2 linked regions of the Oreochromis niloticus genome follow. The protein of the gene in region 1 interacts with the protein of each later gene in a biochemical or structural test. Links are inferred from orthologs where the notes say so. Each region holds a gene or a part of one and is shown on either strand. Other genes may lie near its edges.

Region 1 (15,901 bases):
ATGACTAATGGAGACAGATAGCATGATGAATCAACTCATCTGTAATGGATTAACCTCGCCTGGGCTCCTGAACCAGATTTAATCAGCTTGACTCAGGTTGTTATTCTGTCACACCGTCTAATCAGCGACTCCAAAATGTTCATTCTTGTGATCCTGTATTTGTTTTGAGATTGTTTCAGATGTAACTGTCAGATTTATTTTAGGTCTCTACTCAACAGGAACATCCAAAAAGCAGCTGTTTTAAACAAAAGAAAGAAAGCTAATGCTAGCTAATGCTGTTTATTAGCATAAACAGCATTAGCTAGCTACATACTTTTTGTCCGTATTTTAGGGCTATTGTACGGTGGCTCTAAAAGGTCAAATGCACTGCAACTAAATAAAACACCAGCAAATAGAAAAAAAGCTGCAAAATCACACAAAACATAGAGGAAGCTGAATGAAACACAACGGATGTGTTTGGGGAGACATTAACATGAAGGGAAATCTGCGCAAGTGACAAGCTAACAGCAAATGGCTAGCAAACATGTACCTGCAGTATTATGAATCGTGCACTTAAAGCACACATTATCTGCATCTTTTTCTTCCTCACAACACCGATTAATCCACAGCTTCTTTTAAGCAGGTCTCAGTGCAATACGTCACATGTTGTAGTTTCTGTCACTCTCACAGCTGTTCCATCACGGTATTGTCTCCCCAAAAACACTTCCATTTTATTTTATTCAACTTCTGTTGTGTTTTCTGCTCATGTTGCCTTTAGTTGCAGTGTTTTTGATCTCTCAGTGGATGCACGCTGTACTCAGAGATCACCCAAACCAATATATTTTAGGGTGACTTTCATCAGTTTAAAAAGAAATCAATAAAAAATGCCAATTTTGTCTTTAAAGTCTATTTGCATGCTAGGCTAATCAAGAGCTAATCAATTGCTCTATTATGTGTGCATTTTCCTGGACATGACCAGGCTAGTTGATCACCAGTGAACAGACTTGATAAACATCGTGAATGACAAATGCTGCTGTGCTGAAATGCTATTCTGGTAACTGTGAGCAACTGTTGACCTGTTTTTACAGTCACAGGTGATTAATGACCGTCTCAGTACAGATTCAATATTTTACTGTTGGACTACACATGTTGGAATCGGGATGTGATATAAAACACTTTTATTCAGAGGTGCGTTGTTTGAAATTTATGGATGTAGCTGTTTCTTTATTTATTTTTTCCCCTCCTCTACCGGCTCTCGTTTTTCCCAATGTGTTCATTCCTTTTTGTTGCTGAGTGGCAGAGAATTTATGCTCCGAAAAATATTTACATAACCTACTGTGGACCACCAACTCTGTGCTGCTAACAGTGGGTTCTGCGCGCACGCCCACACACTCGCAGACACACAGGAATACAACACAGAGAGATGTCCGGTGAGATCAGTTCTTATGACATAACCCGTATCCAGTTTTAAACGAGCAGTCATAATGCAAGGCCGAGCATGTGACAGTGCGCGCCTCATTCATTAGCCTCGCTGTCTTGGTACAAATAGCCCAGCCTGTCAACTTCAACCAACATATCTTAAAAAATGAATAAATAAGTCTGCACTCAGATAGAAATCAGACATGTGATCAGCGCACAAGCAGTGAAGCGCACATGTGCTAACCATAGGAGCATCTGCTTCATAGTAGTGGTCTGCTTCAGCAGCTACTGCAGTATTAGCCCTGCTACAGTGCAGTGAACAAAACAGAGGTAATGTAACGCAACACTAGCATCTGTCGGACAGCAGGTTACCAAATCATAAGTCCTACGTGTCGGCGTGTTTACCTGGACATGCTTTAATCCTTTCGGACCTTCTTCGTTCCTCATCTGCTTGCTCCAGTTGGCTCTGAATTTGTCTTAGTGAACAATTTTCATGCATTTATTTGGATTGTGAAACCAGGACAACTGAAAAATACAAATAACATCTACGAATTCAAATCCAAAACATTAGAAGAAAAAGACCCGACCGGACTTCCTATCACTTTTTGCGGTCCATTTTTAAAAAAGAAGAAGCCAACACATGCCTGGCACGTTAAAGCCCTGTAAATTATTTAACAACAAATTTTAGATGCAGCTTTCTCCCGCTGCAGGACAGTCCCATTTTAATATCTCTATTAGCCATTACCATGTTCTGTAAGAGAACATAACTTGCCTTACTTTTTCACGCCTCGATTCTCGAGCGCCTGCAGCGAGCAGAACCGATATAAGAATGGGATTTTAATCCCCATGAGAAATTCCCTGTGAGTTCTGTCCTATCCACAAAAATGAAATGAGGAAGCTGGTAGAGATGCTTTTTGGTGCTTAGAGACATGTGATCAATTAGGTGATGGCTCACTGGCACTTTAGCCCATGAGGGAATACTAGGTTTTCTTCTCAAGGACAATTAAACAGAAGTCTTCTTATCACTCCAGCTGACACGAGATCAACAAGGGACCAGAGTGTGGAGTCATGGGCAACCAGTTTTTCACTTAAAGGTCAGATCATGAAGGAGAAAGAGTTTCTGATAATATCATCTAGGTTGTAAGCAAGGGTTCAGTTTTAAAAAATATATGGCAGAAATGCTGCAGAAAGGCAGTTTCCCACAGTGGCTTACATCGGTAACAGATAGGGATGACATCAAAACAGACAGAGTGCTTTTCAATACCAAAATTCTAAAAAACATCACTTTTTTCAGTACTGTAGTTACTGTATGTGCCAAGTAGGGCTGTCATAATAAATAAATAAATAAATGCCTGATTGCAATCAGATTAGATACTCATCTGCAGCAGTATTGATACCATATTTGCCTCCTTTCACTGACAAACAGCTTCACGCACAGCACAGAGTCTACCAGCAACTAGACAGAAACAATACAGCAAGCCTTACCAACGCTACTTGATCACCATGAAATATATGGTACCAAGTCACCAAAAGCAAAGGAAATAAACAGAGGTGTAGCTGAGTCTATTTACATGAACCATTATTGCTCTAATCTTTGGTTGTTTTTTGTTTAAAAATGTTGTCTTTTTTTCTGTCTCTGTGGTACCAAAACTTGTATCGATTATTGCGTGTTTTCCCAGTATCAGTAAGTTTGAAATTCTACTATGGTGAAAACCCTTGTAGCATTGTCAGACCAATGAATTTGTATTTGTGCATATGTAAGATTAGAAATGGCAGTACAGAAATGTCAATAAAGGTTTGAGTTGATTTTTTTTAAATCAATCAAAAAATGTTGCTCTTCTGAGGTTTTGCTCACATTGAGGGCTAAAGGTCCTGCAATGGTTTTGACCTTTCTATTGTAGCGTTGTTTCTAGCAGTGGACAGACAAAATCACCAAAGCAACCCAACACAAAACATGTGCGTCAAATCTTTTAGCAAACCACAATTAGGCACAAGTCCACAAGTCATGACAGAAGACACGACCTGCAACTTCCTTTCGTACCAGAGGAGTCGGTACGTTTCTAATAGAAACAGCGGTCCACCACAGCAATCCTCAGCCCTTCTCGAGAGGAGGGTCGTGAGGAAGTGTTGGCTGACGCACACTGACCTATTCAGACAGATCATCAACGTGGGTTTGACCCACGTCACAGTGTCAGTCTGAATAGCGCATGAATCATCCACTCCAATCTCTAGAGCTGATAATCTTTAATGATGAAGGCAAATTAATGAATCTTTACATGCAGAAAAGAAACAAAACTGAGTGTGTGTGTGCATATGTCGCTGTTTAAAAGTTTGTTTTTCGATTTTTTTGGCCTCTAAACGCACAGAAGTCTCAGAGAGGAAATGTGTGGGCATAAGGTTGCCCCTTTATCTAGCTGTTTATCTACCTTTCTACAGCATGTTTTTCTTCTCCGACTTCAAACTCTGCGTCAGATCATCCTCCTTAGATTCACTACACCTTCAAGCTTCCACTATCATAGGTCTACATGAACAGAAGCTTGTCAGAGTGGGGGTTTTTTAATCACTTGAAGACAAAGAGAATCTCAGAAAGAATAAATGTAGTTTACTTTTATAATCGTGCTTGTATTTTTATACTCTTGGTACCTTCTATATTAGATTCCAGGTACTCAGGAAGCACTTAGGAAAATAAATGTGAGTCAGGTCCTAATTTTGTTTTTACACCACCCACTTAACCACATCACGAATGAAAAAAAACCCCATATTGCAGCGGTTCATCTTCAGCTTCTTTTCATAGCGCTTATATCTGGATGCACATTATGTTCTTATGCTCCAGTGTGTTAAAACATCCCACAGATGAAAATGATCCCGGCAGGATGTTCAGCTGAGGGGGTAATAATAGAAAGTAAAGCAGACATGAGCACTTCTCCTAGGAAGTAATTTCACTTGGACTACTTGGCACTTTGAAATTAAATTAAAATATCTGATTATTAGAATAAAATGGCTGCCAGAACTGTTAGTAGAGGGAATACAGCTTGAACTGACTGATGAGCTTCAAAAGAATATATATAGCCAGGAACTAATTTGTGCTTGATTCTGAGCCTAAAGCAGCTCAGGTAAGTGTTACAGCGCTTTCAGTCTATAGAGGCAAACAGACCGAGTGCTGGGCGTACTTGGGGCTGTCTCAATTATGCGTGTTAGCAGGTCCTATAACAGAAAAGCTAATTTACCCTAAAAATAACCAACCCACCAGATTTGGAGGCTGTAATACCAACCTTACAGACACAGAGGGAAGTGCAAGTTGTTGCACAAAAGATTTAGAATGTAAAACAACAAATCTCACATCAGCAAAGGACGAAGACTCACAACAGGTAACATCTACTTCTTGCCCAATACCAAGACACACCCTTCATGTCTGCACGTGTCACCAGTGTGAGTCTGTCGCTGATGCTTGTGTATTTATACAAAAGCAGCAAGTTTCTACTGACAACTCAAACATGTATGCAGGCGTGCCAGCACTCACACACAAACATTGCTGAGGACATATTTCGTCTTACCGATCGCCGGGGTCAGGATCCAGCACGTTAAAGGATATGGGTTACAGACCATGCGGAGACACCAGTTGCGAGGCCTCGTTGTTTGCTTTAAGCAGAAGAAGGCCACGGGGGCCAGGGCCGGATACGGCTGCTGTTCCTCATCCTCGGAGACGCAGTCTGGATCACGGATGGGAGCCGTGATGCGAACTCCCAGTGTTGGTCCAACTTCCACTTCCAGCTCCGGTTCCTGTTCTTCATCCCCCTGAACTTCAGGACTCCATTCATTTCCTCCATCTCCTTGAACGCTACTGCTGCTGCTCCTCCTCCTCCTCCTCCTCCTGCTGCTCCTTCTCGTCCTCTCCACCTCCTCCTCTTCCTCCTCATCATCCGGGCGTCTTCCTCCTGGGTCATCTTCATGACCTTGGGCGTAATTCCTGTAGGATGTCGGTACAGCAAGCCTTACCTCCTCCCGCACCTCCTCCAGCTCCTGGCACTCTGCGTACTGAAAGCGCGCTCTCCCTTCGCCATCAGTCATGATAGAGCATCAGGCAGAGCCACTCTGAAGGGAGGTCAGAGGAGAGAAGGAGGTTAGAGGGAGGCGGAAAGTGGGGAGGGAGCCCACGGTGAGACAAAGGAGGCAGACATGAAGGTAGAGGAAAGATGCAGATTAACGGTGACAGAAAAAGAAGCGAGTGAAAGATCAACTTGGCAAAGAGCAACTGGAGACAAATCGCACAAGGAGCCAAATAAACACTTAGGCCATTTCCTCCTCCAATCCCTGAGCAGCAGGAGCTTCCAATCAATCTAAAACACGGATTTCCAATACAGTCCTTTTACAAATCTGCCAGGGTTTTTTTCATGGGCTTTTATTTTTTTTCAAAATAGCCTTTCATCTCAGTTTTGTTCTTTTCTCCTTAAAATGAACAAAAAACAAACAATAAATGCTTTCATCAGACAAAACTGGGAGTCTCTGTCAGAACATCAAGCCTGAATTTCATAGTATCCATAGTAATAACACAGTGAAGGCACCATGGAGCACTACAGACTGACAACTGCCTGCTGTTGCAGCAGTTAGTAGAAATGCAAAAAATGTGTTTACTGAAATTAGGTAACAATTAAGTGCGAGTACTATAAGAGTATTATGATAGTAGAGGGATGTTTTTTTCCCACTCTGTCTCCCCCTCTCTCTCTCATTCTCTCTCTTCCTGTTGCTATGTGATTGAACAGATGGACTGTTCTGTCTCTGGTCTGCTGAAGGTTTTTAGCCCACACCACGCAATGGTGGGCAGGGAATGCGCCAAAAAAGAGGAAAAAAAACAAACCACCACAGCAATAATGATTATTATTGTAATAAGTGGAATAACGTCGAGAACAAAAACATTAGTGATCATAATCCAGCTAACAGACTTTGCCCTTTTGGGGAAGCTTTTCTTTTTTCTTTCTTTTTTAACGGGCTTTGTTGTCCGCCGTTTGCTGTTATGTGAGAAGAGCGCATCTGACCCTTCAGGCAGTTGGAAGCTCTCCTCCTGGGGTTCTTTTGTAAACACCGAACAATATTAAATACACTTTGATATGAACAGTTGCTGTAAAAGTTCTTCCATTCGCGTTTTAAACGGTATTAATGGAAGTAGGAGCCGCCAGAGCGCGCATCATCTGTGCCTTTTTCCGTTTTTCGTCCCTAAAAAGTGGACTGTCTCCTGCACTCAGTGTGTATAAAAATAATCACATGCAAACAGAACAACTTTATCGTTTTAAACTACCTTATTGAGACGGAATCGGAAGTTCCCATAAGCATGATCCGTGACTTTCCGTCTTTCTAGCGCACCCAGCCTTTCTCAGCGACCCGGAGCTTCCCTTTCCTTCTTTCCTCTCTTCTCTCTCGTTTTTAAAAAAAAACAACAAAACAAAACAAAAAATTATCCTTCCTTGGCTTGCCAAAGATCAGAGGTAATCCGAGGGTCGTTGGAAATCGCTGGAAGTAATCAAATAAGTCACTTAAAGTCGTCTTGATTTGGCGCGTTCAGTTAAACGGGAACATCTATCCACATCCATGCATCCATCCATCCGCTCCTCTCTGAGGTGTTCGTTACGCAGCGTGGAGCGGAGATGCGCGCAGGAGGGTCGGGGCGTGTAGGTTTCTGCGCTGAAGCTCCGTGGATGGTCTGACACGGAATTTAAAAAAAACCTTGGCCCAGGACCCGGGAGCCGTGACACGTGACGTGATCCCCGGCTTTAGGAATACGGCGCACAGTAGGAGACTCACACCCGGGCGCGAGAAACGCGCAGAGAGCCAAGCTGGGCGTGCACGCACCACGGTGTTTAATGGATCACAAAGCAGACGGCATAACGAGAAAGAAATTAATACACAGTGTGTCGGTCCGTATTCTTTTTGGCAATAATCCCAACACAGAGGACTATACCGGCAAAAAGGAAATACTGGTGGTGGTGGTGGGAGGGGGGACTTATATCTCCTATATTGTTCTTTAGAGTAAAAAAAAAAGTAAAAAAAAAAAAATGCTGGAACCTGTTGGGAGTAAAAGGAAGCAAGTTTTGGTTTTTGACTTTATTGTGAAACATAGACAAAGACAAAGGAAGATAAGACAAAAAGTGAAAGAACATTTTAGATTTTCTCATAATCGGGCCCTCCAGGGTCATCGAAAACACTCCTGAGTATAAAATGTACTTAAAGAAAAACTGATATGACACATATTTGAAATTATATTTAATTTAATTCAGTTCAATTCAATTTTATTTATATAGCACCAAGTCACAACAACAGTTGCCTCAAGGCGCTTTATATTGTAAGGTAAAGACCCTATAATAACACAGAGAAAACAGAAAACCCCACTGTCACCCTGTGAGCAAGCGCTTTGGTGGGAAGGAAAAACTCCCTTTTAACAGGAAGAAACCTCCAGCAGAACCAGGCTCAGGGAGGGGCAGCCATCTGTTGGGAGGCTGGGGGTGAGGGGAGGAAGACAGGACAAAAAAACACACACAGTGGAAGAGAGCCAGAGATAAATTATAAGTAATGATTAAATGCAGAGGGGTGTAAAAACACATCAGTGGATCAGAGGAACTCCACAGCAGCCTAGGCCAAAATTAGTGAGGAGTGGAAATTTTATTTTACAACAGCCATCTTGGAATTTGCCATCTATCCATCGGTGAGAGCAGCATAACCTACAGAGTTTTCATATCACCAAGGTTCAAAGCGCTGCTATGCAGGGCATAAAGCTTGAATCTTACATCAGCCCATAGGCATATCATCCAACAGAGACAAAATTCACACAACACTCGCAAACAAAATGTTGTTTTTTTCTGTTTAATGCCACAATAAACATGTCCATAATTATAATTATATTTAATATTTTTGTTCAGCATGTTTATCACAGTTCATCCTGTATTCAATCAGGCAACCGGCGCCTCCACAATTTGATTTGACAATCAATTTAAACTCCTTTAAACTCCCATACTGCTTGAATGATCAATCACAATTACATTGACTATATTTAATTAAGAGCATCCAAGGCTGACGGAGTCAGAGAACTAGAGATGGAAGAGCAAAGTGAAAGAAACAGGATGTACAATGGATACTAGGAAAGTGCTTTACTGTTCATTTGACTCCTGGGCAGCCATACGCTCAGGGCCCTGAACAAAGCCTGCTGTCCATAAAACCTATCTTTGAGAATAACCGACACCACGATCGAGAGAGATTTAAAACTTCCTTTTTAAATCAAATCTTTCAAATCAAATCTTTCTGACTGAAGGAGAATTTGACCAATCGAAATCAGCAGCAGAGCGTCCTTCAGAAACACAAACGAAAATTCATCGATGCATTTGTGGTTTATAGAACTAACACAGATAAATAATATCACACCTTAACACTCACAACGGTGAATCTCTTTGACGATCTTGTTTGCAGAGACACAAAGGAAGTGGACATTAGCGTCCACTGTGAATGCTATAACCCAATTAAAAAGCCCCTATGATGCACTCACTCCTGTTGTAGCTACAGAAATCCAAAAGGCGCATTGTTGTACACGCCATTTCCAACAGGCAGAACTAAACCCACCTTACACAGGCAAGTCACATGATGCCATCTTTGTCAAATCATGTGTGGAAGAGCTACATTTATAAAAAATATAATAATGATAAATAAACCAAACACAGGAGCTGAAACAAAAGGTAGAGAGCTGGTAGGAAAACAAAGAAAGGGTTAACATCAAGTCTGCAGGGTGAGGTCTGATTTATGCTCTCAAGCTCTCTTTGTTGTGGTTCTTTTTTGTTAAAGCAGACAGTGTCTTTCAATACCTCCAGAAATGAGGGGATTTTGAGCTTCAAGCCCTCTGGTGATACGTGATAATAAGTGATAATGGCTGTTTAATGGACTGGTAACATGTGAAAAAGGTGGCAGCGAAAGACTAAGAGCTTTTTAAACTTTAAACTCTAAAACATTAGCAAATGCCTAACGCTTCAGCTCGGGTCAACTTGGGAATTGAGATTTAGCCATAATGCATTTATTTATGGACTTATGGATTTAGTTGAAGTTTGATATTCCAAATACTTCTTACTTAAAACAGCTCAGAAATTAATTCTAAAAGGTCTTTCATCATAAAATATAGCAGTGCAAGCATTCGAGTGGCAACATTATGTAAAATAGTTAGCATCTGTGCGCCGAGAGGAAGTAGTTTGGGGGATTGTTTTGTTTTGTGTGTCTGTGTATTACATAATGGCTAAGTACACTGGCAGGTCAACAATCTGACATAATCCTTTTAATCTTTGTGTGTATCTTTGTCTTTACTTAGCCTGATTATTCTGCAGTTTGGTTGTTCACTTTAGAAGTACACCAGTGGGTTTCACTGAGTTTTTAAACAATATCAATTTTCAGCTTTAGCTGCTTTTTGGGGCAAAAAACTTGAAGTCGAGCAGGACGATGCAGTAAATTCTATCAAATTTGACAGTCTTTACTCTAAAACAGACACTGATGCAGAACAAAGATGCACACAGCTTTTATAGTCTGTGTGCTGCAGTAAACATGGCGACTGGCTCGTCACGTTTCAAAATCCAAAAACGCAGCGCTGGGTGAATCAGACCAGATGTGACACTTTAAGCTTCCACACACCACAAATCTTTCTCCCCCTGCTTTAAAAATCTCTGAACTCAGTTTCTTGAATTCCTAGTTAGGGTGCCAAAAGCCTAAAAACTGGAGCCAGGAGAGGAAAAGTACTGGCCGTTTTTGCAGACGTCTTCAGCTGACAATGATCTTTGTGGTTTTGAAAACCTTTTGGCAAGACCTTTTATGATCGCACTGCAAGTAATACAGGTTTTTAAAAAATATATATATTGAACAGTTCTGCGTTAGAGCTACTTTATGCAGTGCAAAGATCACCTAGGAGCATCAGTTATGCTGGAAAATAATGTATAAATGCTGGGCTGGTGTACAGTATGGGAGCCAGCTGCCAAACCTTTTCATCGCTAAGCTGATCAAAGTTATAAATTGTCAAAAGGTTGATGTTCTCCTCTGTGGCTTGTGGTGTTTGAGCCATTACCCTGAAAGCCAATTAAGGAGTTTTTGAAGATGTGAAACTAAAGGGACAATAGGTTTTCTTAAATGTCACTTTTGGCTCTCCTCATCAATATTGTGAAAATGCTAATTACCCAGGACTTAATCAGCCACAAGCCCAACTGAATCACTCTTTAACATTATCTGCATGTGCAACAGGAGACGTGAGTGTGTGTGTGTGTGTCCATTCTCATTCTCAGCTGTGAGAAAAAGTGACTAGTATGCAGACAGCTCGAGCTCTTCAAGCCCATCCCCCTCCCAACACCTGTCTTTCCCTCCCACCTGTCCGTCTCCCTCCCCAGGCTTTTGCACATGCAAACTTGGAATTCTGTCTTCATTACTCTACGCTTGGCTCCTAAATGGCTCCTATGAGAGTTTTGCTAATGCGGGCTCCACTCTGACGCCCTGCTCAGCTGTGTGTACGAAGCCTGGATAACCTGTGTTTCCCTCTCTCGTCAACCAACTGATTTTTCTCTACCAACCCCCCTCCAGGAGTTTGTTCTTCCTCAAAGGAGAACCGTATCTGATAATATCAGCTTGTTTCTGTTTTCATTACACAACAAAATCAACTCTGAGTCGAAATACCTGCATGTACACAATACACGTGGTTACAATTCCGCAAAGGAGACAAATAATAGACTGTCCTACGTCTTTGGGGAGGAAAACATCTCTTCACACACTGCAATTCATTTGCCACTGCTCCAAATCAATAGCGCGTGCGCTTCCCAAAGATAATCAATACTCCTTTGTCAGGTTGCCATCTACAACTCCCCCCCACCGCCCATCCCATCTCATCTCATCATCCACCATCCTCCACTCCGACTCCCACACTTTCATCATCCGGCCTTTTCCTCCTGAATTTCTCATCTCGTGTCATTGCTTGATCCTGCTAAGTTGGACTTTTGAAGCGCTGCAGTGAGATTGAAGCCACTGCAAACACAAAGCAATGTTTTTTTCTCTCAAACAGCTTTCCAGTTTGAAAAAGTGAAAAAGTTAGACGTCCAATCGCGCTTTACATTTGGTGACGTTAAGTAAATAAGGTATTTAGTGGCAATATATCAAACTGTGTCGTTTAGAAAAGCACATATTCATGTTTGACTACTTTTCCACTGAAAGCAAGAGTGCATTACATTAGGCAACTGTGAAAAGGGTCAGAGTGAGCAGTGAAAGGGAAAATGGCAGGATTTTCAAAGAAAGACAAGTTTCCTATCAAAACATTTCAACGAAAAGCATCTCTAGGTTTTGCATGTGTTGACTGACATGTGATCTCTTGAGATGTGAAGGGCAAAAGCACAACAAAGACTTCAAAGACAAAAGTAATGAATAAAATCAACAAAGTCGAGGCACAGCTCTACATCGATGGCATTATCTCTGCCTCGGCTAGGCTAGTCCTCTGATCTAGCTTACTTTCACACGGCTGTGTTTGTCCATCCTTCCCTCATCATCGCTCTGCTGGGGTCTATTCATTAGACCTGCTGGCATATGTGAGGTCTGTTCCTCTGTTCCTGAGCAGCTATGAGGCACTTCTATACAGTGCGTGAGTGCGTATTGCACAAAGCAACTAAAATATACATATTCTAGATGTATTATTGAAATCGAACTGAGTGGAGTAAACAGAGGCATGAAAAAATGTAAAGCAGGGATGGTTGAAAGAGAAAAGGATGAGCTTTTTTAATACCCCATGTCTGTCTGCGTGCCAAAGTAATCATTCTAATTAGGGTATGGGAGAGGAAAAAATATCTGTGCATTCATAAATACACCAAGAAAAGAAAGGAAACAGTTACATAACTCACACGCATACACCCACCCACAGAGTCTGCAGCAGGATCACAGCCAGATTTAGAGGGAAATCTGTCCTTCACAGATGTTGACATGAGAACAATACCTGTGTCTATGTGTGTGTGTCTGTGTGTTTCAACAGTTAGGACTGTTCACTTGCTCATGGAGCTCATTCAGTGACATTAAAGTCTTCTAAGGTTGAACTCAGTGTTGAAATATTTACAGACAATCAGTATGTTTCACTCCAAAATGTTTCAGTCTCATGTTATCAATATTCAGTGTTTGACTTGAAGGATGCAGCTGATTTGCTAATAGTTTTGCTTCAGTGGGTAAAGAGCAACACCTGAAACCTGAAATTTGCAGATGGAGTTTCTAGTGCCTCCAACCTTGAACGAGGCCACATGGTCTGGACTTCTCTAAGTTGCTTGAGGACGTTTCACCTCTCATCCGAGAAGCTTCTTCAGTTCTAGGGTCAAATGGTGGAGAGTCCCAGATGAAGGTAAAAGGGGCCAACCTGCTACTAATGCAGTGTGCCTAAAAAAGTGGCCAGGGAGCGTATATCATAGAGATAACCAGTGGCTGGCTGGGGAATGAATCTTAGGGTTCATTCGCAAACAATACAGAGTCTGTAGACTTTGATTAGTGTGGTGTCTGAGGGGTTGATTAATGAATGATGCTCATTTAGTGAGTTTCCACTTGTCTTGAGACACAGACAGACAATGAATGGCTTGTATGGAGATCTCAATAAATAAAAGAAAGATGCAAGCATGACTCATTAATGTATTAGTTGTTCAGTTCACATATTTCTAAAATGTTTTTTACCCTCAACACATTTAAATTCATCCTTCTTATGCAATCCTGCCTCCTTGGTGTGTCTTCCTCTTCATTAAATTTGGATTCTGTGTCATAACACCTAAAACCAATCCTATCTGTGTTCAGGCATTTGAACAGAAAAAGACCTGATGAAACTGATGTGGAAATGCCTTCAAGAAGTGGATCTGATTCGTGATTGCTCTATGGCTGGAGTGTGATTACATTTGTCTGCACCCTGTCTGATTTTATCTATGCACACACACACACACACACACACACACACACACACACACACACACACACACACACACACACTCACACTCATACACACAGACAAGAGCTGACTACCTGCTAACCTCTTGAAAAATGTAACGCTCATTTTCGATACAAAGACCTGCAGGTTGCTGCCCACATATACACCCCTACTGGTAGACTTCAAACTGATCCAGAGAGAGACAGAGAGGCTCAGAGTGAAACAGGGGAGAGACTGAACAGAGAGGAATAGAGGTAATCAAAGAGAAAGAAAGATGGAGTGGGACACACACACACACACACACACACACACACACATGCGCGCACACAGGAAGAGTGAGAGAGAGCAGTGCACAAACGCTGACACTGAGAGAGTGAGAGACAATGATGTCTCATAGCCGCAGTAATGACAGTAACATCAGGATTATAATCTGCTGTTGTATAACAGCATCTGACAGCCTTCTGGGTGATATTATATTAACACATACATGAACAATCATACAAAGCAACAACCCTTCAAATAGTGACTGTTCCATCCACAGATGTTCCTTTGGACTCTTGTTAGAAAAGCTTTTTCTCTCATTGACTGTATAACAAAATATGTTTGGATTTTTTTTTGCCCTTATTCCAAAAAAGACATGATTTGCCCAAACCTGTTCACATGGCGAATGAAAGACATTTGTCCTCAAATGCAATCCAAGTCTACATGAAACCACATCTGCATTTTTTTCTGCAAAGTTTCTTTTGTTGATGCAACTCGACCCACACGAACTCTTGGCTATCTGGTTTATGTGCAACACAGAGCTGACCGTGACAGACAAGAGGCCTTGTGTCAAATGTGCAGTGTCTACAGAACATGTGTCTTAGTTATAAACCCTAGCTAAGACAGGCACAGTGCTGTGCAAAAAACAAAAGAGCCACCCATATGACTTTAGTCTTTGTTTCCAAGCAGCCAGACTTTGTTGGAAGTTATTAAAAGTGGTCTTGAGCGATAGTTCTCCAGGCTTTCTTAAGGTCTTTCAAAGTTTTTCTATGAATATTTCAATCATAAAAAATCCCTAACTCAGAGAATGAGTGAGGCTTGTGTCTATACATAACAGACAACTTAGCAAAGAACCAATTTTAAATTGTATCTTTCTCCACTTTGTTACTAGCAGCCTGTTAAAAAAACAAATCATTTCCTTAGTCAAAAAAATGACAGTCTGACAGGCATAAAATAGTATTTTTGCATCAACAACGTGCTATTAGTCAAAAAATCTGGCATATCTCAGCATTGTTTGCAGTGTGTTCTTAAGGAAACCAGACAAGTGGAGGACAGAAAAAGTGGCAGGCAGAAAAGTATCTGCCTGTAAGAAAAAATCCAGCGAACACCCAACAAAGGACCCGAGAGATGCATCTGGCCCCTCAGTTGATCTATCTACTGTTCACTGAAGCCTCATCAGCAGTGATCTCAGTGGAAGAGTGTCTGTCAAGAAGCCATTCTTAAGAGAGAAAAGGCTGATGTTTGCCAAATATACAAGAACTGGACTGAAAATCAGTGGCAACAGGTTGGATGGATGATGAATCCAAACCCAATTGGGAATCTTGCCCAAACTGATTGAATTATGAACACAGCCCAGAACCTCAACATTACCGGAGCAGTGTGGGATCATCTTGACAGAGAAAAGAAAAGTCAGCCAACATCCAAAGAAGAGCTTTGAATGTCCTTCAAGAAGCCTGGAGAACTATTCCCGAAGACTACTTAATGAAATGACAAGAAAGCTGCATCAAAGAGTTCAGACTGTGCTGAAGAATCAAGGTGGTCATACCAAATGTTGACTTTCAAACTCGTTAGATTAATACAGTCTCTGTTTTTGCCTTTTATACAACATTTCCGTTTGTTTGCTCACATTTCAATAAATCACTACAACTACTGCCTTAATAATATTTTCATATCCAGCTTCTAAAACAATGATAAATTTGGAATAGGACCTAATTGTGATCATCAGGATGATATTTGTATAACTTTAATTATTAAATTATTAAATTCTAAATATTGTCATATCCATACTAAAAGTCTTAGTTTACATTGTGTCCTACTTATAACGACACAATGTAAACTAACAATACTAATACTAATAAAACTAATAATAAAGTGGTTTTGTTGCACTATCAAACCTGCACTGTGTGTCTTTGTCATTGTACCTGTATATACACCTCCAGAACCATGGTTCCTTGTCCCCTAGTCCCCTGTGCTGCTTTCACAATGACTGGATGGCTAGTGGCTTTAAAATACCCTCTTTCATCTATTTTATGAGAATCTATTTTTAAAGACTGACTAACTGGAAACAACAGTGCCATCATGGTCGACATAGATGGTGATGAACCGCGTAAGGCAAGAAGGAAATCATTGGATAGTCTTCAAATCTAAGGACACTGTTAGATTTTCTCCAAGGTCACTTATAGTTGTGAAAGTTGAACAATAAGGAAACAGGACAGTCGCTGAATTATTTTACCAATACTATGCACAGCCAAAAGGGCTAAAAGAACAGTTTTGGAAGACAAATAAAGAAGTTAAGACTCGATT
Region 2 (16,504 bases), on another chromosome or scaffold:
CCATTTTCCTCTCCTGGGTCTGGTGCTGGTTTGGAATAGTCTCCTGACAGCAGACCATAACCGAGCTTGGCTCTGTAATAAACAAACAAGCTGACAAGCTGCACATCCAACAGGATCCCACAGCCTCATGCAGGTGGTGGATTTAAATATAGACCAAGATGTATTTTTTACATTTTTATTTCAAATAACAAGCTGGAAAATCTAATCATGGAGCTGATATTATTATCTGTGTTGAAAGGTTGCTGCGCAGCTACTGAAAAGCAGAGATTGTTTAGAATAAAGTAGATATGAGTTTAATGAAAACAAGAAAACAATAAAATTAGATAGCAAGTAGACTTAATCTTATTATATCAAACTGTTGATAAAGGGTCAAGTTACATGAGCTGCGTCGACCTTCTGTTTTCACAATAATGGATTTTCTTTAAAAGCAGGCTCTTTAGTTGATTTCCTGCTGTGCTACTGAAACAACAGCAAACAGGTGTCGATGTAAGTCTGTCTAAAAATAGCACCTTTCAATAGAGAAAGGCAGTATTTACACATTAAAAGACAATTATCACACTTGAAAATGCAGCTGCCAGGAAAGCGCACAACTGGGTTCGTTGCTGACAGCTGGCACACTGTAAATGTGCCTGTGTATATTTATGCAGATGGCTTATTTGATTTTACAGTGTGTGACACCAATATCAGGAAGCCATATGTGTGTATGTAAATACATGTGCATGAAAACTAAGGTAGCACGAAAACACGTCTAACATTTTAAAAAGAGCCGCTTTCACTCTCCTGCAGTACAAATGAGGGGTGTTTTTGGACATTTAATAATTATACAAAAGCTTGTAGTTTAAAATTTAAAGGAATTTAAAGGAAATTTAAAGGAAACTCACACTTGGGTTTTGAAGTCCTGGGTTGGGTCGCTCGGTGCTTCATCAATTATCTTGTCGATATTAGACACGTACCTGTGAGGTATGGACAGAAAAGCTGGAAGGAAATTCTTTGGATTCATCTTAAATGTTAAAGCAAAGTATCAGACAAATTTTCACCTTTTAGGTGAATATTGACTAAAAAGCAACATTTTTAATTTCAGTTTGCCATAAGAAATAACATGAGACACACAGCTGGATGGGGACTGTAAAAAAAAAAAAAAAAAAAAAAAAAAAAAAAGGAGGTTACTGACTTGCTCTGGAAGTCTGGGATGGTGAAGAGCACTTGCATGACAGAATTGAGGTAGCAGCTGTTTCCCAGGTTCTTCATGCCAGTCAGGCCGGGGCCAAACAGGGGGCGCAGGGTGGTCCCCGACTCCTGGATCACCTCCCACTCTCCCACACGCTGATTCACAGCAATCTCCAGCTCTGTCATTGTCCTCTCAGTCTGAAAGCAGAAAAGCAAATGCAGTAAGTATGGTGGCTGCAATCACACTACGTGGACTGTGTGACTGTATCTGGCTTCAGGACTTTTCAGGCAGAGCTCAGTTAATCTGAGTGGTTTAGAAAGTGGGGACTGCACTGTTTGTGAATGAAACATTGTGTAATCTCGGTTTACACCATGTGGAGGAACACTTCTGTGGCCTAAATACTGAACTGTTAGCTGAGGAATACATTCATATTACTTGCCAAGGCCAGCAGCACCTGCTGTTGCTGTATGAATTCAGTTTGAATCACTACACCGACTGCTCCATCAGTTAACACAGAGGCCATCCAAATGACTATGAATTTCATTTCATGTCATTATTTATTTAAAAGGGACAATGCAATTTAACATAGTTCTAATGTGAAGCAAGAAACTGATGTGCTGCACAGAGTTTAGAGCTCTTGCTAATTTTCAGTCAAATTCAAAATTCAAAATAAATTTTACAAGACTCTATGCAGTCCAATTAAAAACTGAGCATACCCTTTCTGCTTCCATAGTAATTAAGAGGGTTTAATTGATTAACTGATTATCAGTAACAGTAAAAGATTATCAGTGACCACTATAAAATCAGAGGATTTGACCATTTGTAGGCAATCACCCCAAAGTCAGGCCACATAATGCTCAGAGACCCCAAAAAACCCAAATGCTACATCTCAGACTGTACAAGCCTCAGTGTGTTAAACATTACATTTAATTACAGCATGATTAGAAAATGTATGGTTTGTTTTTAAAGGTTTCCAGGAGAAAAAAAAAAAATCTTGCTTAAAAAACACAGCACCATGGCTTAGGTTTGCAAAGTTGCATCTGAACTAGTCACAAGAGTTCTGAGACAATTTCCTTTGGATAGATCAGACCAAAGAGGACATGTTTGACTGTAATACACAGCACCACATACTGAGAAAACCAAACAGCATAAACATCTATCAAGCTCGGTAAAGGGTTGATGATTTGTATTTGTTTAGCAGCCATACAACCTGGGCCCCTCACAATCATCAAGTCAACCATGACCTTCTCTGTTACCAAAGTATTCTAGAGTCAAATATGAGGCAATCTGACCAACAAGTCAAGTTTGGCTGAAACTGAGTATTGCAACAGACCAGTGACACAGTTTAATATTGTTTGGTTTATGATGCAGAACTTTAACCTAAGATGATTTCCTCATAAGAAAGACAATTGTGTAATCCAAACTTGTATTTAGATACTTATTCATTGCTCCCCAAAATCTAATTTTGATTGTTCGCATGTTTATTTTTTTCCTCATTGAGCCAGTCTTATTCCACTTTAAGCATGTTATAGCACATCTTTAATATTTGTGCTGCCATAACTTCTCAACTTAAGATAAACAAAGCATCTTATCTTACAAGTAAAGGGAAGATATGTTGCGTAAGAAAGCAAAATTCTTTGCAAGAGCCTTAATACAAAACATTAAAGAAAAGTTTTTATATTAAGAAAACTGATAAACGAGATTAGGCAGTATGACTCATTAATGACACCAGGCAGGCAGACAAACTATAATATACCACTAACTGCTGTATTCTTTCTTCTGCTTTACTATCCCACAATTCTTTCACCCCCTCGGCTGTGCAACATCATTAGGTGTGTACAGAAAAACATCAGCAAGAAAAGAAATAACATTAGAGTACACAGTGAGAGCTACAGACATCTTAGACAAGACAGCTGTGTAGACTGCACTCTGCATAAGAGGGGAAGCAGGTGGCCAAGAAATAAAAGACAGCAGGGATTCAAAGAGGAAACAGGTGTTGCAGAAAATGAAACAAGGGGAAGTAGGTCAATATGATAAGCAGTAATAATTATATTAAAGAACTATTATATTAAGAACAACATTATATGTAGTTAACAAAAAACAAAAGCAATAATAAATGAAAACCAGATCAGAAGGGGGTGAGATATTCAATAAGAGAAGTATCTTTTTTAAGTGTTTTCAGCTCAGTAGCACTGCAACGTTTTTAGACCTTAATTTTTGCAACACCATAGAATCAATGGCTATCTAACAGACAAAAGTAGGCACCACCATTATTTGGATGTCTGCAAAGGGGGAAAAAAGTCCCATATCCCTGTCTAAATTTACAACACTCCAATCATAAAGCAGCAGACTGATCAATACTTCTATGTACAAGACCTTGATCTAATGCATAACATTAAAAACCAGGAAGAAATCTGACAGCTCTCAACTTGTATTGGTCGATAAGTGATTAAATCCAAAATAAAATCAGCAAGAAAAACAAAACTTACTTTCTCCATGGTCATCATGTCAATGCCAAAGTGAGCCAGGTGCTCTGGTAACTTTGAATCGAGCACCATGTCGTCCTCATCATAGGAATACACATCTGGAAAAACAAAACAGCACAGGGACTGAACTTCAGACAAATGCAAAATCTCTGTAATTTATTTTTAAAGTTAATTAACACAAACCAACTATTATCAAATCGTTTTTTCGCTTACCAGCGCCATCAGGAGTGATGGTACCGAGTTTGACAGCAAGTGGGTAACCGGTCTCCTGGTAGTGGAGAAGAGCATGGTTGTTGCCTCCAGAGCCATCAAAGTACCTGCGGCCACACAGAACTTTGCCATCCGTCAGGTTCATCCAAATGTTCTCCTGGAGGTCACACACCTCGCACCGCCAGCCACTACGACAGACAGAAGAGAAAGCCTCCAATAAACACACTTTCTGATATAAAGATAACAGCCCTTTATAGAGCTTAAATGGCAACATTCTCTCTTTTACAATAGATTACTGAAAAGGGAACCGGATCAATATTGAATCAGTGGATTCTAAATGTAGAAAGGCAGTATCTTGACTAAAATAGATACACCTGTGGCAACTCTATAAGATTTATTGTACATATAGACAGCCAGCACATCTTTTATCAAATTTGAAGAGAATATGTGAGCTGCTGCATGGCAAAATTATTAAATAATAGAGCTTTGACCTCACCTGGGAGGGATCTTGACTCCATTGTCTAGCTGTTTAAGGTCAGCGGCATGCTTCGACTCCTGTCTCACCTCTCCATCCCACTGCTGAACTTGTAAGGTATGAGACACTGAGTCAGCTGCCATGATACCCGCCATAGACAGGGACACCTAGGTGGACAGCAGGGGGACACATTTCAAGAAAATCTCATTTGAAGTCCACTTGCTCTTAAGCACAGAGATTTTTCTTTAAAGAAAAAGAAAACCCCAAACAGACTGGAAGGAGGCAAAAGGTTAGATGATGATAAAGAGATGATATAGTAGCACTATGCATCCTCTCCACACAAACAAACAGGCAAGTAACATGAAACAACACCAGAAATTATTCCACCATGGTAACAAATACAGCTCAAAACAATAAACCAAACATTACTCAAAGAATACACATCTTACCACCTACAATCTAACTAAGTGATTTGATAAAACTTCAAATACTTGATAACTGACAATAGAAAAAGCATGAACTCTGGAAAATGTTGGCAGTCAGGTCTGGACATTGTCTGAAGTGAGGCAGGCAACTTGAGATAATCCACTCCGGTCGTGTTCTCACTACTGGAAATACTCTTGTGAGGTTTAGGCGAGATAGCTGCCTAGGCAAAGCATGTGGAGGGCAGGACACATGCCCACTGTCACTGTGAATTCTCTGGACAATTATTTGCACTATTTACACATAGGAGCATCCAGAGATCTCACACTTTGCACTAGGGAGCTGACGTGTTCAAAAACTGTTTATCATTTGATCTGACTGTGTCACAGTTGAGTGCTCATATCCAACTCAACTGGGAAACAAGAGAAAATGCCTTGTTTATCAACCATAAATCATAATTTACGCCTATATGCATGCCACCCAAGTTCTTGTATTAAAGGACTGTTGAAAAAGTTCACTTGTTTGCTAAGATAATGTAAGGCTGTGTGATTAAGGTAAAAATCATAATAATGATTATTTTGGTCAAAATCTTGGTGCAGTATTATTTAACAAAATTATAGCAAGACTTTTAAAAGATTATGGATTTATTCAACTTTCAAAAACAAATCAGTGGATTTCCTTTCATTTTAACTATAATTTGATGGGAAAAAAAATACATGTGAATGTAAATAACAAAGAAAAGGGATGGGTTTCCTGTTTCATGCCACACTGTGAAACAGGATGTGGCATTAAAATTATTTTGTATCAGTTATCTTGTTTGATAATCGAGCATATAGTTATGAGATTTCCAACATTTGAAATGAATAAAGCACATCTTATCTTACCATCTACTGCCATACTGACAACCTGGGAAAAACCTGAACAGACTAGAAAACAAACATGACCTCTCACCCGCTCTCTTACGACATCAGGCATGGTGGTCAGGTCCTCGGATGTCACCTCCTGCCTGTCTGGCAAAATCACCACTTTTACATCCTCCTCATATTGCTCCTGCTCTACATCAAACCCTCCTTCAATACCTGAAAAGAACAAAAACAACAAGGGTGGAAGCATATGTCCCTCTTGGAAAAAGTGATACCCATAGAGTTAGCCTTTTTTCTAAATACATGTATGCTTATGCACTCACCTATAGCCAGTCTGGTGGGCTTTTTCTTAGGTGGGTGTCCAGAGCCAGAGTTACCATCATCTTCCTTCTGTTGGCATTGAGAGTAGGTGAGAGGACATGTAAAAGGATGGTGCTGATAGAGATAAATGTAATTTAGATCACCGTATTTTAACCATAAAGTGTCCCACCTTGGCCTTACGAGTCCGGGTGATGTGCAAATAAGCCCTCTGACCAGAACGAGCATGGTGCCTGTCAACATACTGACTCCCCAAACCCAGGAAACTGTTCATGCACACATACAGGCCTCCTTCACTCTCCTGTAAAGGAAGCACAGACAGTGTTTAATGCTTATTGTCCTCTCTGTATATCTCGCACCACTTGCAGTAGACTTGCAAATTAAAGTTGGATGCGATCTATAAGTCTTAAGCATGTCACAGCATCAGTTGCTACAATGAAAGTAACTAGCACTCCTGTCAATTTGCTAGCCTTTGCTGTTAAACAATGCTCGTTTATTTTAAAGTCCACAGAAAAATAGTGTCTCTTAAGTGTGACACACTCTGAGCAAAGGTAAATTTACATCATCAATAGTCCTGCAACAGTTGTGACTGACTTAGTTTGACAGCTTACTCAGTTAAACCCACAGAGCTAGCTAACAAGCTATAACCGCTAAGTTTCCATTACATTGCATTATTAGCTTAGCTTGAGGCTAACCTGCTAGTTATGTGAAATGGGGAAAACGTAGAAAAACAGACCATTAAAGTGAGACAGCACTGGCAAAACGTTACGTTAGTGTGAATCACGAAAGAGGAAGGGAATACAACACAGCAACACTGTTTATCAACTGAAGTTTTGATTTACAAAAGGAAAAATGGCTCACCGGTGAGGAAAATGACAAGGCGCATTCGTCTTTGTGGACGCGGTCCCCGGGTTTCGGGACCCGAATTGTGGACAAAACCGACATCAAAAGCTCACCAACGTCCGCCATGACGAAGCTCGCTAGTTCCACCTTGCAGCGGGACACCTGCTCTGAGTTTGGACACCCAGCCTCTTGATACCCTGGCTCGGAAGAGTGTCCGTTGTCTGGCCCGTGTTGTGCTGCCTGTGTTTGCCTGAATGAATCATGAGACGCTGCCTTGTGTTGAGGGAAGGCCGTAAAGAAGTCCCGCACACAGAGTGGCTGCTGCTCATTACCGTAATCCACAGGATATAGGTACGCGCTCTCATTTTTATAATGCAAAAACGACTATTTTTTACTTGGTATGTCCACTGCCGAGTCGCCTCATGAAAATGTGAATGTGCGTTAATGCTCTATTAATTATAAGAAATGATTAATTTCTTCAAAATATAACCAACAACTATTAGTTTCACTTCAAACTACCAAAGCTGTTTTACAGTTATATTTACGGTAACGTCGGTTGCGTACTTCGGGTTCCTCTCGGATGAGATACAAATACTGTAGCTTCAAACATAACAAGTTTAATCAAGTCAAAACTCATCAATACCTCAAACCCAATTTGACAAACTCAAGCAAACCCAACGGGAGTCGTTAATAAACGCGCAGCGTTGTATTACATGTATTAAATTCATAAAAAGTACATAAAAATACAAAAAAAGCCCCCACTTTCTTAACAGGGAGGAAACTTTGTGGGTAGTTCTCCCCTTGGAGTCCCTCCTCTGCTTCCACCTTCGCCTCCTCTGCTGGGATTGCCTGTCGGACCATGGCGCTTCAATCGGGACGTTTGACTGTATACGTGGCGTTTAATTGTGCTATTCTCGCACTGTTTAGTTTTACCTCAACGGCTTGGGCAAGAGGCAGCCCCAATGTTATGTCACTTCTCCAGCCGTATGATTTTCTGTATTACAGCGGGGTCCGCGCATATTTTAGTGGGGAGTGGGGCAAAGCTGCAGAGCTGCTGGAGAAATCCATCGCGACCAGGGAATCACTGTTCAGGGTCCGCAGGCAGTGTCATGATGACTGTATGGCAGCAGGGACAGAGGCTCTGAAGAAACTGGGTAAGCTGGGCGCTAATATAAATTATATCAGATATTCAATTACTGGTAATATGATCATCTGTCTGAACAATGCGCCTGAATGGTGCAGTAGAAGCTCATTAAATTAAACTGCATTAATAAATTAGCTATTTAACACTGGTGTAGACCAGTTTTGTCCCTGCTGACTTATATTGGCATATCAGCAAAAATTGGCCAATAAAGATCATCTGTGACACAGTTTTGGGCGAACTAAATGTTTCAAAACTGTGTAATGAAGAGTTAAAGCTAATGGAACAAAGAAATACAGACTAAGTGTCGGTGTCTGAATCAGCTGTCAGCCAGTCTTTTTATTTTATACCCTGATATTAATGTCATCAGTGCATCATGCAACATATTAGAACAGATTTTGTGAAATTCAGTTATTCTTTTAGCTTCTCACAGCTGACTTAATTACACTTGCTAGATCACAAACACACCCTCAGGGATGAAGGGCTATGTCAGGAGGGGCATCTGCTGCGAGAAATAAGGGAGCAGACATTAGTACCTTCTTCCATACAACCTGCTGAATGTTTTCAAACCTGCCAACTTTAAGGAAAAGCCAGAGGAACGACTGACCTACTCCATGAATACGTAGAGTATTCATGGATTCATGCAGACGAAATAGTGATGTGTATGCTCTGAAGAGAAGAGGAGTAGCGGTAGTAAAGGTAGATGAGTTTAAATACCTGGGATATCCAAAGCGACAAACAGTACACAAGGGAGAGGTGAAGAAGGGAATGCAGGCAGGATGGAGTGGGTGGAGACGAGTTAGAGAGGCATGGTTGAGATGGTTTGGACATACGCACAGGTGAGATAGTAGCTATATATATTGGCGGCAGCAGCAAGGTGAGAATAAAAGAGGAAGACCACAGCAGAGGTTCATAGATGTGGTGAAGGACGGCATGCAGATGGTGGATAATAGGGAAAGAGTGAGATGGAGGCAGGTGATTCATTGTGGTCAGCCCTAAAGGGAACGGCCAAAAGAAGAAGATTGGACCTATCATGTAGCCAGACAACAGCTTTGAGTCTGTGTTAATTACTAGTTGGAAACTAGATTTTATGATTTTATGAAGTTACTGGCGGCTTCACCCTTACTTCTCGGTGTCTAAATGCGTAGCTAAAAAACAATGTGACCTCAAGAGCTCAAAGAATGTGTAAGATAGGCTTTTTTGTGTTTTGTTGTAGATTGTTGGCAGTTCTAAAAATCAAAATGTATAAAATATATGCCACAGGCTGGGACCTTATCGTCTTTTCAATGGTGTGTGTGTTGTTAGACTCTGAACAGGGGACTATGTGGGACCTCTGGGCCCTGGACTGGGTGCATCAAAAAGCTGAGTGTTTGAGGTTCTGCATTGGACGCTCTGTCACACATGTTGGACAGCTTCCTGTTTCTGCTGATATAGAGTACGAGTTTGGCACTCGCAACCCTTATAACTTTCTGCAAGTCACCTACTACAAGGTAAGTCGTTCTTTACACAGCCATAAGGAGCTGCTGCATAATAAAGCTCCTAAATTGTCATTACTTCTACCAGTACTGTGTTCCAAATTGTCATTTAAAGGGAAGCACCTGTCAGTATGGTCTGCAGCCATAATTATAGTTCAGCTCACAGCTGCATAAATAATCACAGCAACACCCTTAGTGGTCTGTAACAAACTTCATTCAGTCTCTCATTTTCCTCCACATCAGCTAGAAAAGTTGCAGAGGGCGGCATCGGCAGCTCATACCTACTTTGTGGCCAACCCCTCTCACCTGGAGATGAGAAACAACATCGAGAAGTACAGACGGATGGACGGCGTGACCGACGAAGATTTCCAGGACAGAGAGAGTCACAATGAGAAACACTGGGTGAGGAGGGAAGAGTAATGGGGTATACAGTGTAAGTGGGAAGAAACTGGGTTGCACTGCTTAGAAAAATCAGTCAAATCTGAATAAATTCACTGTCTGACCCATTCAGAATGAGCTGCTCCTTCAGCATTTTGGAGCCCTCATACCTTCATAAGCACAGAGGAGAGACACATGAAATTTGTAGGTCTTAAAAAGACATTTAAAAAAACTGAAGGCTGTCTTACATCCACTCCAAATGTTGCAATTTAAAGCAAAAATCTTGTGATTACCTTAAAAAAATTATCTTAATTCAACAGAAATTCTAAAAAGCTGCTTCATTGTCATATAATCTGTAGGTGAAAATAAAGAACACTTATCTAAAGAGGCTTAATGGTTAGGTTAACAATGTTTGTCAGCACTAGTCAAACATATTGCCTTACCTTCGACCTTCTTTCACAGCCGCTAGTGTTGTTATTGTCCAATTATAAGCAGATAGCACAAAAGACCAAACTACTTATCTTTTTGAAGCACTTTAGTCCTCTGATATGAACTAATAGTTCTCAGTTTTAGTTCCTAATAAGCATAAAAGCTTTGATTCACTAGTTAAGCAGTGGAAGTGCGAGTTTTTGCACTTGCTAACTAGTTAATGATAGCCGACATGCAGACAGGTTTAAAGGCTTTGAACAAACATATCAGACATTTCTTTAACTGACTGACCCTAACTAAGCCATAACTAGTCCTCTAATAGTCCTCACTCTGATTTAAGTTCACAACTCAACAGCTGATGAAGGGCGTTCAAACAGAATGATTTTAGAGACGTCACTGTGGAGAGTCAGACGTGGCCTGAGGGACTGAATTTCTCTGTCTCACTCTCACCTTCACTTGTCTGTTTGCATGCACATGTCTCAAAAGTAAAAATGTACTTCATCATCAAACGCTAGCCTTTAGCTTTGGGTAACACTTAACAATAAGAATTGTAATAATCAGTGTGTAAACCACCTATAATTCAATAGCATCTCATCGGTATTGGTTAGTGTGTGTTTTATAAACGGTTAATCTTTTTCTCCTCCAGTAAATGTTTGTTAATGCTGCTGTAAGGATTCCTTAGAGGAGCACTGAGAATACTTTTGCACAGCAATTTTAAAATAGTTATATTTAAAAGTGTTATATTTCTTAAGCACTATGATACAAAACAATATACAACTCATTAGTTGTTGTTTTTTTAATTAGCAAGCAAATGGCGACTGTGTTATTTCCCTGTGTTAATCTCTGTCTCTGTATCACTGACTTCAGGTCCTGTATGATGCTGCACTGCAGCTCGAGGCTAACTCTGAATGGAAGCAAGCAGCAGAGAAATGGAAAGCTTGTGTGAATGAAACCCTGCAGCAGACAGAGGAGTGCAGGGTGCAGTGTGAAGTCGCTTCCCAACGGCTGCCTGAGGACAGGGGAGTTGACAGCGTTGACGGCGTGTTTGAAAAGGCAGCAGGTAAGAAGCAGGCAGAAGTTTTGAGCCAGACAGAAAGAGACCAGAAAGAGCCAGTTGTCACCAGTTTTTGTTTTCTGTCCAGCCCTCTCCCTCTCGCTGCTCTCATGCCGACAGTCATGCGTGACTCAAGTGGCCACACGACCTGGAAGGATTTCTGCTCAGGAGGACTTCCTGCCAACACAGCTTGAGCATCTGCACATCGCACAGTTTAAAGGTCTGATTTTTTAGGTCAATGTGAAGGTCACACACGTGATTTTATTATTCATCTTAAGACTGATGCACTACTTTGCCTTACTTTGCATCCTCAATTCCCGGCAGCCGGTGACATAAGCGGGGCGTTGCAGACACTTCGCTCTCTCCTGCTGTTTTACCCCTCTGACAAGGACTCCTTAGACAACCTGCAGCTCTACCATGAGACACTAGGGGGAGACACAGAGTCACAGAGCGCACAGCCTGCTCAGGTACCATTCAAACCACTCAAGGTTCATTATATTAAAATTACCACAGTGGTGTCAAAACGTAAAAAAGTTATAAATCCAATAAAGTAATCCAAGTAATTTAAATGAGAAATACATTTTTTCACTTCTCTTGTTCAGTTATTTCAAGCATACTTAGGTTTCAAATTCATCTTTAAAGTCATATTTAAGCACAGGTTTGTGTGTTTTTGTCACACAGGAGATTGTCAGATACATCAGCCACTCCTTGCAGGAGAAGAAGCTGTTGTATTTTGGTATGGAGAACCTCGACTTCACTTTCACAGATCCAGTAAGTACTGATGCCAAATGTGCAGTGCAGTGACAAGAGAGCCAGCTATGAAGCATTTCTTTGCTGAGGTTATTCATCACCCTCTGTGCAGGATCTTTGGACTCCAGAAGATGTTGTACCTGAATCATTGAGGGAGATCTGGAGGTAAAAAAAGAAAGAAAATGAAAAAGAAATCAAAGGTGAATCTGTCACTAGTGGAAACTAATGAAACAGAAAACTCCATCTGTATCTTTTGTGTTTTAATGTTAGAGCTGAAAAAGAGAAAATGAATGAGAAAATGAAAGTGGGCGAGCAGCAAGAGGAAGTGGATGACAGTGGGTTTTTTGCAGGTAAGAAACAGTATGTTGGGGAGTCAGTATGTTGCAGGTAATTTCCTTATGCTATGTGTTTTCAGCCTTTTCTACCTAGGGCGTCATGGGAGGAGCTCCTCGTCACCTTAATTGCACTTCAGGTAGCTTAAAACAAGGAAACACAGGTGTATCCATTACAGATATGCCTGTTTATGTGGCATGTAACCATTAACATCCATCTATCCATTAACAAGTGAAATAATGAATAACATCCACACGTACCTATAGGCTTTGTAGGGTTGTCAGTAAGGATCAACAGATTATAACAGCTCACACATCTTATGTATGTGAAAATCTAACACATTAGAGAATAGAGGATCATTTATTTGCAGTGTGTCACAGTTTCTCGGCATCTCTGTTAAAGATGACTTTACCATGACACACTAGAAGACTATTATTAAATAATGACTAAAATTAGCAGTAATCTACATATCCTATGAAATACGTGTCAATGAATCATTCTACTCTTTATATTACACTGCTTAGACTTTTCTAAAATATAAAACAGGGAAGGAGTCACTTATAGTCAAGTCAAGATTAGCCTGTCTGCTGCTATGACCATCAGGGAAAGTCACCAAAAAGTCACAAGCTTTGTGGGTTTTGTTGAATATTATGGAAACTATTACAAAGAAATTGAAGCGGCAGTTTATACCGAGAAATAGAGTTTTGTCTTATTTGCTTGAATAATTTATCAATTTCACACAGAGGAAAACGAGGCGTGAAGTGACACAGTTTCTATGGATCTACTGAAACCTGAAGACTAAACAGACCAGCGCCTGAAATAAAAGTAAAATCAAAGAGAATATATTCAGTTTGTTGGGATCTGGTCGCCCCATTAAATACAGTCATTATAGAAACAAATATTTCCCATTTGGCAGCTTCGGCGACTTCATATCAGAAAAAACACAGTCGTACCACCATCTTCTGCTTAAAATAAGAAGTGACCCATTTACTGTCTTATCCTTTCTTATTTGTCCTCTCTGCAGGTGGTCCGGTGCCTCAGGTGGGCGTGACGATCACAATGGACGACGAGATGCTGAACGGCACCAATCGAGTCGTCCTGGATGGAGTCATGACGGAGAAGGAGTGTGACAGAATACTGCAGTTAGCATCAGTAAGTTCAATCAGTTTTTTTTAACGCACGCATGTGAAAACCCCTAACATACACATTTACGTGGTCTCCATAGGTGGCAGGATCTCTTGGAGATGGCTATCGAGGACGGCGGTCTCCACACACTCCTCATGAGACGTTTGAAGGTCTGACTGTCCTCAGGGCGGTGAAGGTGGGTGGAAATGACATAACTGAAGCAGGTCTACGAGATGCTCTCAGCAGCATCTCGTGACCCTCACTGCTGCTTCTTCCTCAGTTGGCTCAGGAAGGCCTGGTGAACCAATCAGATGCCAAGCTGTTACATGAGCTGGGTGATAGAGTGCGAACCGTGCTGCACTCCTACTTCAGGAGCCCCTCAGGACTTTTCATCACTTTTACACACCTGGTCTGTCGCACTGCTGTCACAGGTAAAACCAACAGTATTCAATACTGGGATAAATGGAACAGGTCCTTTAATGTGTAACTAAATCATCCACTCTATTCTTACTTTATTACTTAAAGTTAAATGTGTTATTTTGTTCTTGTTCTGTTTTTTCTTTTTAAATCAGACGATCAGAAGGGCAGGCTCGACCTCTCTCACCCCGTCCACGTTGACAACTGTCTCCTCGAGCCGGAAACCAAGCAGTGTTGGAAGGAACCACCAGCTTTCACACACAGAGACCTCAGGTACTGAAAAAAACATCTCTTCGTGGATTAATAATAAATTTGGGCTCACACTTTCTCCACAAATAATTTTAGAAGATGTTCTCAAGCCATTTTATTCTAGCAAATATCCACGAACAGAATGTTTTAATATTCCTTTACTGGTAAAATGTCATTTAGATATCATCAGCATATAGCAGTGAGAGAATGGTACATGTCATCGTTGCCAAAAGAAAGCTGTCACAAACCGAACAAAGATCTCTGTGATCCAGAGACTCGTGTCTGCTTAGAATACAGGTTTCTGAGAAACATCTTTAGCTGCTTGAGGAATGTGACATTTTCAAACCATTATATAGAAGATGTGAACATCGACGTTGTTTCTCCATTTCACAGCCCTAAGCTACATTTGGGAGTGTTACAATGGACAGCTAAAACACTTGTATCTGCAACTAATTTTGCTGTTTAAACAATGATGTATCCCAAGATACTGGTGCTCAAAAAACTGATTACAGAAAAACATCTTGCTGTTTCTAAAGAGGACAGGTGGGAACATTTCTTAGATGTTGCTGATTTTATATGGAATTACCTAAAAAGCATTAGTTTACACTGCAAGTCTTAAACAGTGTTTCAGGGGAACAATTGTGGCAAATATCAAAACAACCAGAGCACCTGTCGTCACTGGTAAATAGTTTTGTTCTGTTGTTATGGGGAAATAATGACACCTTAGAGCTACATGAACTGATGGAGGTGGAGGGAGAGCAGAGAAAACACTGCTCTACAACACAATTGCTCCATAAATAAATGCAACTGAAAACTGAACGTGACACTTAAAGTTGCTGGTTTTAGTTTTTATTATATGTGAAGAGGTCAGTCTAAGGAAAAAAACGTTAATAATTGAAAACTGAAATGGCTTAGTTTCAGTGTTTCAATGTTTCTGCTTTGACCAAAATGTTCATCCTCTTTGGGTGTAATCGTGCCAATTCTATCGCCAAAGGAAGGAATTATGTAATTGTTGCATGTTCTGTTTGTCTGTCTGTCTGTTTGTTTGTTAGCACTTTAGTGTCCACAGTTTTCAAGATATCATTTTCAGATTTTATGAGATGGTTATGAGGTGGATGGAGGTGGGCCGTCTGAGGTTTCCTTTTATGAAATGTAATTGTCAGTTTTAACATTTTGTGACATTATTGAATTGAATTTTAGTCAGTGGCAGATCACAACAACAGTAACTTCAAGATGCTTTATATTGAAAGTTAAAGACCCTACAACAAAACAGAGAAACCCCAACAAGATGACCCCCTAGGAGCAAGCACTTGGTGACAGCAGGAAGGAAAAACTCCCTTTTAACAGGAAGAAACCTTCAGAGGAACCAGCCTGTTACAGATTGAGGCTTTCTATTTCACCTTTTAAAACTTTAACCCTGGATTTGACCTTCCTTGTGGCAGGAAATCTGCAATGCTGCAAAGTAAAGTTACATTTCTTTTTATTTCAGGGGTAATAACTTTATTTTATCTTTTGAGACATTTTTTTTATCTAAATGTTATATTATTTTTGCATGATTGATTAAACCAGAGGTTCCCAAAGTGTGGGGCCCGCCCCCTAAGGGGGGATGCAGAGCCAAAGCAAAGCAGGAGATGAAGCATCGCCAAATATGTTTCCAAACCAACTTCCTTCCAAGCCAAAGACTAGAAAATATGGTGAAGCATATCTTCCCTTTGAAGCATATCTTCCCTGCACAAGTGCCGAGGTAGGTTTCCCCTGCAGAATTGGTTTTCCTGCGTCGGGAGCACGCGCTGGGCTCTCCAAATCACGGACAAACAGTATCGGATTTTTAGTTCACAAACACTTCTTGTAATGACTAACTACTCCTGGGGAGCAAACATTTTTCTTGTAAAACAAAGGGGGGCCTAGCAAAAAAAGTTTGGGAACCACTGGATTAAACTGACATTTCTCCATGGCACAGAATCTCACCTAGACACAACATCTTCACCTGCCTGTTTCTTCATTGTATAGTATACGATGAAGAAATGTAAAGTGGCCATAGATGGATGAAGACATGAGAAGTTTTAGTGAGAAATTAAAACGGTGTACGTAGGTGTGAAATCTAAGAATAAATAAATGGGATTAAAATGTGCAGTTTAAATGGAATTAGCAGGACTACATAACAGTGTAATAACAGACTGTAATAATCAAATGACTGTGTGTGCATTCATGCTCAGATTTCAGCCTAATTCTTACACAGCAGGTTACTTTTACGACTCTCTTTCTCCCAGCGCCATCCTCTACCTGAATGACGACTTTGATGGCGGAGAGTTGTTCTTCACTAACAGAGACGCCAAGACAGTAACGGTAAGTCATTTTAATCTTGTT

The links.
Region 2: the proteins of cacna1ha (region 1) and usp5 form a complex in vitro, tested with the Homo sapiens proteins (2 studies listed by BioGRID, with this or other methods). The link is inferred for Oreochromis niloticus from reciprocal best matches to the Homo sapiens genes CACNA1H and USP5.

Annotation. Positions count from the first base shown.
Region 1 is NC_031969.2:13,107,582-13,123,482, forward strand, and holds the start of cacna1ha (voltage-dependent T-type calcium channel subunit alpha-1H), read right to left. Parts: upstream 7,212-15,901; 5' UTR 6,692-7,211; intron 5,491-6,691; 5' UTR 5,467-5,490; coding exon 4,991-5,466; intron 1-4,990.
Region 2 is NC_031976.2:23,486,991-23,503,494, reverse strand, and holds the start of usp5 (ubiquitin carboxyl-terminal hydrolase 5), read right to left. Parts: upstream 6,944-16,504; 5' UTR 6,913-6,943; coding exon 6,805-6,912; intron 6,245-6,804; coding exon 6,116-6,244; intron 6,016-6,115; coding exon 5,949-6,015; intron 5,842-5,948; coding exon 5,714-5,841; intron 4,507-5,713; coding exon 4,361-4,506; intron 4,053-4,360; coding exon 3,868-4,052; intron 3,753-3,867; coding exon 3,658-3,752; intron 1,366-3,657; coding exon 1,172-1,365; intron 954-1,171; coding exon 882-953; intron 73-881; coding exon 1-72. Other genes in the region: p3h3 (prolyl 3-hydroxylase 3), read left to right, coding at 7,646-7,940, 9,233-9,417, 9,646-9,804, 11,077-11,269, 11,352-11,483, 11,588-11,730, 11,945-12,034, 12,126-12,178 and 6 more. UniProt on the Homo sapiens protein: Deubiquitinating enzyme that participates in a wide range of cellular processes by specifically cleaving isopeptide bonds between ubiquitin and substrate proteins or ubiquitin itself.